Linked DNA regions of Macaca mulatta. The protein of the gene in region 2 purifies or fractionates together with the protein of the main gene of each other region. This does not show direct contact. Links are inferred from orthologs where the notes say so. Each region holds a gene or a part of one and is shown on either strand. Other genes may lie near its edges.

Region 1 (3,500 bases), on a different chromosome or scaffold from region 2:
AGCCTGGGCAACAAAGTGAGAATCTGTCTCTACAAAAAATACAAAAAATTAGCCAGGCATGGCAGCACACGCCTGTAGTCTCAGCTGAGATGAGAGGATGACTTGAGCCTGGGAGGCAGAAGTTGCAGTGAGCCAAGATCACACCACTCCACTCCAGCCTAGGAGACAGCCAGACCTGTCTCAAAAAAAAAAAAAAAAGGAAATTTTTATGTTTTTCAATGAATCATGAAAAAGTGTTAGAAGGCCAGGCGTAGCAGCTCATGCCTGTAATCCCAACACTTTGGGAGGTGGAGGTGGGAGGATCACTTGAGCCCAGGAGTTCCAAGACCAGCCTAGGCAACATGGCAAAACACTGTCTCTACAAAAACAAAAAAAAATTAGCCAGGCATGGTGGCTCATGCCTGACAGTCCCAACTACTTGGGAGGCTGAGATGGGAGGATTGATTGAACCCTAGAGTTGAAAGCTGCAGTGAGCTGTGATTGTGCCTCTACACTCCAACCTGGAAAATAGAGGAGAGACCCTGTCTCCAAAAAATTAAATTAATTAATTAAAGTGATTGGAAAGAATTTTTTAGGCTTGGTATTCAGTCCATTTTCTTCTTCTTGAGCATAGCAGGTTTATCCAGCCATGGTAAGGTCAGTCTTTCCCGGCAAGGCCGAGGAGCAGATGGGCATGGGAATCACGAATTTAAGGACAGAGGTCTGTCCTAAACCAAACCTGAGCTCTTGGGGCCAGGGACTAAGCCACACACACCCCTACAACCTGGGCTTTCTCTGGGGAGTCTGCTCTCTTACCCAGACCCTTGTTGTACCTTTATTGAGGACTGTGAGGGGCTTCCGGTTGCTGGGGTCCAGGCTGCTGGGAGCAATTGAAAACCTCGGTGGAATGGTCAGGCAGGTGATGGGGAGACGGGCAGGGATATAGCCAGAAGTAAAGAACTCGTCGTTAAGCAGCTCATTAATGGTTGGGCGGGCAGTGGGATCTGTCTGAAGCATCTTCTGGATGAGGGAGGCGGCCACGGGGTTGATGTGCTAGGGCAGAGAGAGGGACAGCCATAAGCAGAATGTGAAGGGGACCCGGAGTACAGTACGGCCTCAAAGGGGCTGCAGGCCAATAGACCACACGCAGTCCCCAGTCTCAAATACACCCCAGGTTAGTGGTTCACAACTTGGTTCAATGCCAACTTCTCCACTGTCGGCTTTACTGAGCACCTTTGACAGAAGGGTCAATGGACTGTGGCCTAGCACCAACTCACTTTCCTGGCACTTACTATGTGCCAGGAAAGCATTCTAAGCACTCCTGTACTTAGCTCACTTAGCCCTCACTAATACATCTAAGGGGTGGGGCTCTATTATCATCCCTTTTTTGCAGAGGAGGAAAGTGAGGCACAGAGAGGGTGAAGGCCTTGTCTAGTTGGCTTGATTCCATGCTGTCTCTGACAGTGAACTGACACTTTGTGATGGATTTACTATGTCCGTCCTTATGGTGACAGGCCTCTTGGCTTCACACAAGGACACTACACTTCAAACTGGCTGTGTGCTAGGCTTCTGCAGGAACCAGCTATTCCTTTAAATGCATTTCTGTTGGTGGTTGTGAAAATACACACCATGGCCAGGTGTGGTGGCTCACGCCTGTAATCCTAGCACTTAGGGAGGCTGAGGCGGGCAGATCACAGGGTCAGGAGATTGAGACCATCTTGGCTAACACAGTGAAACTCTCTTTCTACTAAAAATACAAAAAAAGTAGCCGGGTGTGGTGGCGGGCACCTGTAGTCCCAGCTACTCAGGAGGCTGAGGCGGGAGAATGGTGTGAACCCAGGAGGGGGAACTTGCAGTGAGCCGAGATCGCATCACTGCATTCCAGCTTGGGCGATACAGTGAGACTCTGTCTCAAAAAAAAAAAAAAAAAAAAAGGAAATTGCACACCACTATGCCATTAGGAAGCCCTGGGATTCAGTGATTCATAATTCTGTGAGCACTTACTACATGTAAGGCACTCTGTGAGGTGCTCCAAGGCAGGAACTCCACTTTATAGACGAGAACTATGGTTCAGAAGATGCAGGCCAGGCTGGGCATGGTGGCTCATGCCTGTAATCCCAGCACTCTGGGAGGCTGAGGCGGGTGGATCACCTGAGGTCAGGAGTTCGAGACCATCCTGGCCAACGTGGTGAAACCCCATCTCTACTAAAAATACAAAAAAAAAAAAAAAAAAAAAAAAAAAAGCCAGGCAAGGTGGTGGGTACCTGTAATCCCAGTTACTTGGGAGGTTGAGGCAGGAGAATCGCTTGAACCTGGGAGGTGGAGGTTGCAGTGAGTCGAGAGTCGAGATCATGCCACTGCACTGGGGAACAAGAGTAAAACTCCACCTCAAAAAAAAAAAAAAGAAAAAAAAGAAAAAAAGAAGATGCAGGCCATTTGCCCAATGTGATCTGGCTAAGTGGCAGACTCAATTTGAATTAAGATAATCCATTTCCAAAGCTTAAGCACTTTAGCCTCCTACTCCTTCCTACCTCCTTTGTTTTTTGCTTTTTACGCAACTTTTGGGCTACCCAATCTCTTGAGAATCTGCCAACTCTCTCCCCCTAGAAAAAATGCTTATGTGCACATACATGTCAAGTTCTGTATGTAATTTCAGACACAGGCCCTCGTAAGCTCTGTGGCTATCCTAGAGGTGGGATAGACCTATTTCTGGTCTTAGGATATTGCTGGGTTCCATAAACAGCTTTTGGGGAAAACAAAATAAATGTAAAGTTAAAGCATCATTAGTCACCTTGGGAATACTGTATTCATTCTTCTTGATCCGGAGGTAGGTCTCTTTTAGGCAAGAAGTCTCAAAAGGTGGTTTGCCCACTAACAAGGTATACCTGTAAGCACAAGGTAGGATTTGGCACCAGCCTCCCAGCCACAACCCAGACATAAGAGAAATCATCTCAGGGTCAGAACAAAGACCAGGCATCCTCTGGACACTCACTGTAACTCTGGGGCCCCTGAAGACAACCAAGTCCACTGAGCAGCCCCAGGAGCCATAATATTGGCTAGAATGAGCCCTTACCAGAATACACGTGGTGAGACTAGGATTCTTAGGGGCCAGTGATTTTTTAGTTGTGGCCTGTGGTCATCTAGGACTCTGCAAGGGCCTCAGAGGCTGCCTGTCATGCAAAACAGGTCAAAGGGCTACCTGCACTTACAGAAGCAGCTCTACCTTTAGCAATTCTGTACTTAAGTCTTCAAGTTTTCATTTGGAAAAACCCCACTGCGAAGATGTATGAAAGTCACTGCTACAACTCATTTCTAACTCTCCAGTACCTAGGCCCCAAACAAGAAAGGTAATACCTGAAAAGGCCCAAGCCTCTGCCTGCCACCAACCGCTGCTGATGGTCTCAATCCAGACAGACCACTGGCACGTCATCCTTCCATCTGTAACTCCTGGCCTAATTTCCCCCACCATGCTAATGTTCATCAATGTTTAAGACCTTATTGTGCACGGGAACTACCAAGGG
Region 2 (4,187 bases):
TTGAGGTCAGGAGTTCGACACCAGCATGGTCAACATGGTGAAACCCTGTCTCTACTAAAAATACAAAAATTAGCTGGCCGTGGTGGTACACCCCTGTAATCCCAGCTACTCGGGAGGCTGAGGCAAGAGAATCACTTAAACCTGGGAGATGGAAAAATCATTTTCACTAAAAATTATATTTAGCGCCCAGAATGGTGGCTCAAGCCTGTAATCCCGGAACTTCTGGATGCTGATGTGGGAGGGTCGCTTGAGCCTAAGTTCGAGATCAGCCTGGGCAACATGGAGAGATCTCATCTCTACAAATAATTTAAAAATAGCTAGGTGTGGTGGCAAAAGTCTGTTGTTCCAGCTGCTCTGGAGGCTAAAGTGGAATCGTTTGAGCCTAGGCAGTCGAGGCTACAGTGAGCCCTTATCACACCAGTGCACTCCAGCCTGGGTGACAGGGCAAGACCCTGTCTTTAAAAAAAAAAAAAAAAAACTTTAATGTTATAATCCAACAATTCAATACAAACCTCCTTCAATTTTGATGAAAGCTAAGAATTGGAAACCATTTATATAAAGGTGTCACTTGGTCTCTGGCCCTTCTCCCTTTCAAACTCACAGGCACAGATACTTTTGGGGCTGGATTAGCATTTGCGTTGGGATGCACGGCGGGGAAGGTACAGGATGGGAACCGACAAAAACAGAGCCAAGCTGGTCAGGTCGGTGTCTACCCCAGAATTCGGGGACATTTCTAGATCCTGCAGGAAAGCGCGGGAGGACCTGACTCAAGCTGGCCTGGCCCTGAGCGCATCTGCGCCCCTGAAGCCTGGCCCTGAGGCCCGAAGACAGCAGCTTTCGGGTTAAAGGGGCCTTGGGAAGAGAAGGGGCAGGAAGGTGGTACCCGTTGCGCATAGGCCAGGCTGCCAGGCCGCGGGGCTCGGTCCCGCGAAAGTAGTAGGTCTTCCGCTAAAGCAGAATTGTACTTTTACTCGACAGCATGGAAAGGCCGCTCAGAACAGCAGCAGCAGAGGAGAAGTCAGCGCAGGTCACAGACAGTTTCACGCTCAGAGACTTGGCCTAGAACTTGGAGGCCCGCTACTCCAGCACGCTCGCCTCCCGGCCACCCACGCCCCCACCACCCGCACTGCGCCGTTATCTGCCTGACTGACATCTTGGTCAGCCAATGATCTTTGGGGCTGCCAAAGCTCCTGCCTCCGAGAGTTGGGCGGGGCGAGTAGTTGCAATGACAAACATTTAACCCAATAACGAGGAGATGTCACACGCTACGGCCGCAATAACCAATGAGAAGAAAGAATCCTTTCGAAAGGACGTGTCAGGCAACCAACGGCCGGTGGCGCTGCAGGGGTCCCGTGGCTTCCGTTCCGAGAGGGCGGGGCGGCGTCCCGAAACGGAAGGTGGTTGTCGTCGGTGCCCAAGCTGGTTTGAAACTAGGGGTCGGGTTCGGTCGTTGTCGTTGTTTGTCGCCGCATCCCCGCTTCCGGGGTAGGCCGTTCCTGCCCGCCCCCGCCCCTCCTCCCTTCGGACCCATAGATCTCAGGCCCGGCTCCCCGCCCGACTCGCACCCCGCCCGCCGCAGCCCACTGTTGACCCGGCCCGTACTGCGGCCCCGCCGCCACCATGTCCCTGCACGGCAAACGGAAGGAGATCTACAAGTATGAAGCGCCCTGGACGGTCTACGCGATGAACTGGAGTGTGCGGCCCGATAAGCGCTTTCGCTTGGCGCTGGGCAGCTTCGTGGAGGAGTACAACAACAAGGTGGGCCAGGCAGGGCCTCGGAACCCAGCTGGCGGGGAGCGGGCCCCGGGAGCGCCCTTTCCGGGCCGGAGCCCAGGCCCCAGAACCCTCCTGCGGACTCGCCTTAGGGCCATGGAGCGGTTCCAATGTCTGGCCCTGTGCTGAAGGTTTCGTACTCGTTGTCTGTCTCATTTAATCCCGGCAGCATTCTTGTGTAGTCGGCAGTGTAGTGGGGAAACTGAGTCACGGTTTTGTGACTTGCCTGGGTCAGGCAGCTATTTCGTGGTGGAAACAGGTCTTAAAACCGGGTTTACGCCCCAAAGATACTCCATTTATTCCTCCCGTGCTCTCCACTCCTGCCGCATTTTTTTCGTTGGTGGGCGGGGAAGGGAAGAGGGAGTGGTAGTTGTGAAGGAAAATGCAGACGCTTCTATTCGCGGTCGTGCACTCTTGGCCACACTAGATTTCTATTAAGACGATCTGTTGTACAAGCTTCCCCGCCCCCTACTCCCACACCCCGGGTGTGGATCCTAGCCCTTCTGCCAGAATTACTGTTGCTCTTGCTTCCTGATAACCATTCTCTCTAAAGCAATCTCTTTGGAAATCTTGGCCTGTGGCATGATCCCGCGGTTGTTTCCTGAACACAGGATGACAGGGCCTTATCTTTTGGCTTGTTTCATGCTAGTACAGTTGTGTGACCTTTAGTAGTAGATCTTGCTGGACATTCATCAATTTGAGAATCCTTTATAGAAGCACGGTGTCGTAGGGGAGCTTTTAAACTGGCATTGCAACATAAACTCATCTTTGAAAGCTGAATAAGTCAGTTGGAAGCATTTTCTTTGCTTTCTTCCTTTTACTCAATTAAAGTTGAATGATAGCGATCAGAGCAACTGAAAGCTGTGGCTAGTGATATTTAAAGCCACTACTGCCTTATGCCATGAGCATCAGATTTAAGAAGAGTAAAACTGGCTGGGCGCGGTGGTTCACGCCTGTAATCCCAGCACTTTGGGAGGCCGAGGCAGGCAGATTACCTGAGCTCAGGAGTTTGCGACCAGGCTGGGTAACAAGATGAAACGCTGTCTACTAAAATACAAAAAAAAAAAAAAAAAGAAGAAGAAGAAGAAAACTGTTCAGTGACAAGGCTCATGCAGGGGGGAAAAAGCCAGGTGGTCTAGGAGTGGGTCCTGTCTGGTTATTGACTAGCTGTGAGGTGTTGCACAGGCCTGTTTTATTATCTGTGACCCACAGTTTGCTGTAGGGAAGGGGTTCTGGTTTACATGTGAGGGTCTTGTAAAAAAGAAATTTGAATATTTTACAGTTTGTTTACAGTTTTTCAGGAGCACGTTTCTCTAGAGTAGGTCTTCTTTGGAGTCCTCTTTGAGAAGCTGATGAAAGCGATGGATTTTCATTGTCCAGACATTACACATACGTGAACATATTTACAAACAAATCCAAGCAATATGCACTGATCTTTAAGTTCACCCATTTCCCGGGCGAAATAGAGCTGTATTTCCTTTCCTCTGATGCTTCTTTCTTCCTTGTGGCCCATTGTGGACAGCTGAACTGGGAATGGGATTCAAGCTTCTGATGTGGACACCGTGTTAGTAAAATTAAGACCACTAGAACTATTGTTTAAGGATACACGTGGAAAATAAAAAAGTATGTCTTTCAAAGAGCTTAAGCTTAATTTTTCACACAAATTAATGTTTTTTTCCTGTGTGTTTTTCCAGTGTCACGGGGTAAACAATAGTTACTCCTATTCTCCAGAGAGGAGAAACTGAGCCACAGTTAGGCTGCTGGTAGAATCAATGGAGTAGTCAAACTGCTGTTGCAGGAACTCTACCCCAGTTTGTCCTTTCTTTTAGCAACTCTCTGGAGCTTCCTCTTTGTTCCAGGCACACAGGTAGCATGGCTTAGCAGCGAAATGCAAACTAATAACCCCACTATCAACAGCGTAAGCAGTTAGCTATATCTTAACTCACATGATGTAGGCAATGTGCTGTCTTAAAATCATTTTTGTGCCTCCACCTGTCAGTAGGTCAGGGTTCTTAAATTCTGTGTGCTATGATCATCTGATACCAATAGACCCCTTCTCATAGTTATGTTTTCAAATGCATAGAACACGTAGAATTACAAAAGAAACCACTTACGTTGCACTACAGATATAAACATGTTTTTAGAAGTGGTGATGTAGTCATATGTACTTTTAATAAATTAACATATTGATTTACACCATCCAGTGTAATTATTAATGTAATTTTGAAGTGGTGACAAGGGTAAACAGCATTTCAAGATGCTTAACTGCACCGTGGTGGGAAAAAATATTTCTCTTGCTGGTGAAGTCACAGATACTTATGCCACTGTGAGCACCTAACCCATTTGTAATTGAAGGAAATAAAACATATTTAGCTAGAGGTGAATGGAAATATGGGCGTGATTTTCCAATTCAA

The links. The genes of interacting proteins can lie anywhere in the genome.
Region 1: the proteins of DCAF7 (region 2) and PLK1 purify together in Homo sapiens (affinity purification with mass spectrometry; 3 studies listed by BioGRID and IntAct, with this or other methods). This does not show direct contact. The link is inferred for Macaca mulatta from reciprocal best matches to the Homo sapiens genes DCAF7 and PLK1.

What each region holds. Positions count from the first base shown.
Region 1 is NC_133425.1:23,225,285-23,228,784, reverse strand, and holds part of PLK1 (serine/threonine-protein kinase PLK1), read right to left. Parts: intron 2,865-3,500; coding exon 2,771-2,864; intron 1,033-2,770; coding exon 813-1,032; intron 1-812. UniProt on the Homo sapiens protein: Serine/threonine-protein kinase that performs several important functions throughout M phase of the cell cycle, including the regulation of centrosome maturation and spindle assembly, the removal of cohesins from chromosome arms, the inactivation of anaphase-promoting complex/cyclosome (APC/C) inhibitors, and the regulation of mitotic exit and cytokinesis.
Region 2 is NC_133421.1:73,348,671-73,352,857, forward strand, and holds the start of DCAF7 (DDB1- and CUL4-associated factor 7), read left to right. Parts: upstream 1-1,387; 5' UTR 1,388-1,620; coding exon 1,621-1,758; intron 1,759-4,187. UniProt on the Homo sapiens protein: Involved in craniofacial development. Acts upstream of the EDN1 pathway and is required for formation of the upper jaw equivalent, the palatoquadrate. The activity required for EDN1 pathway function differs between the first and second arches.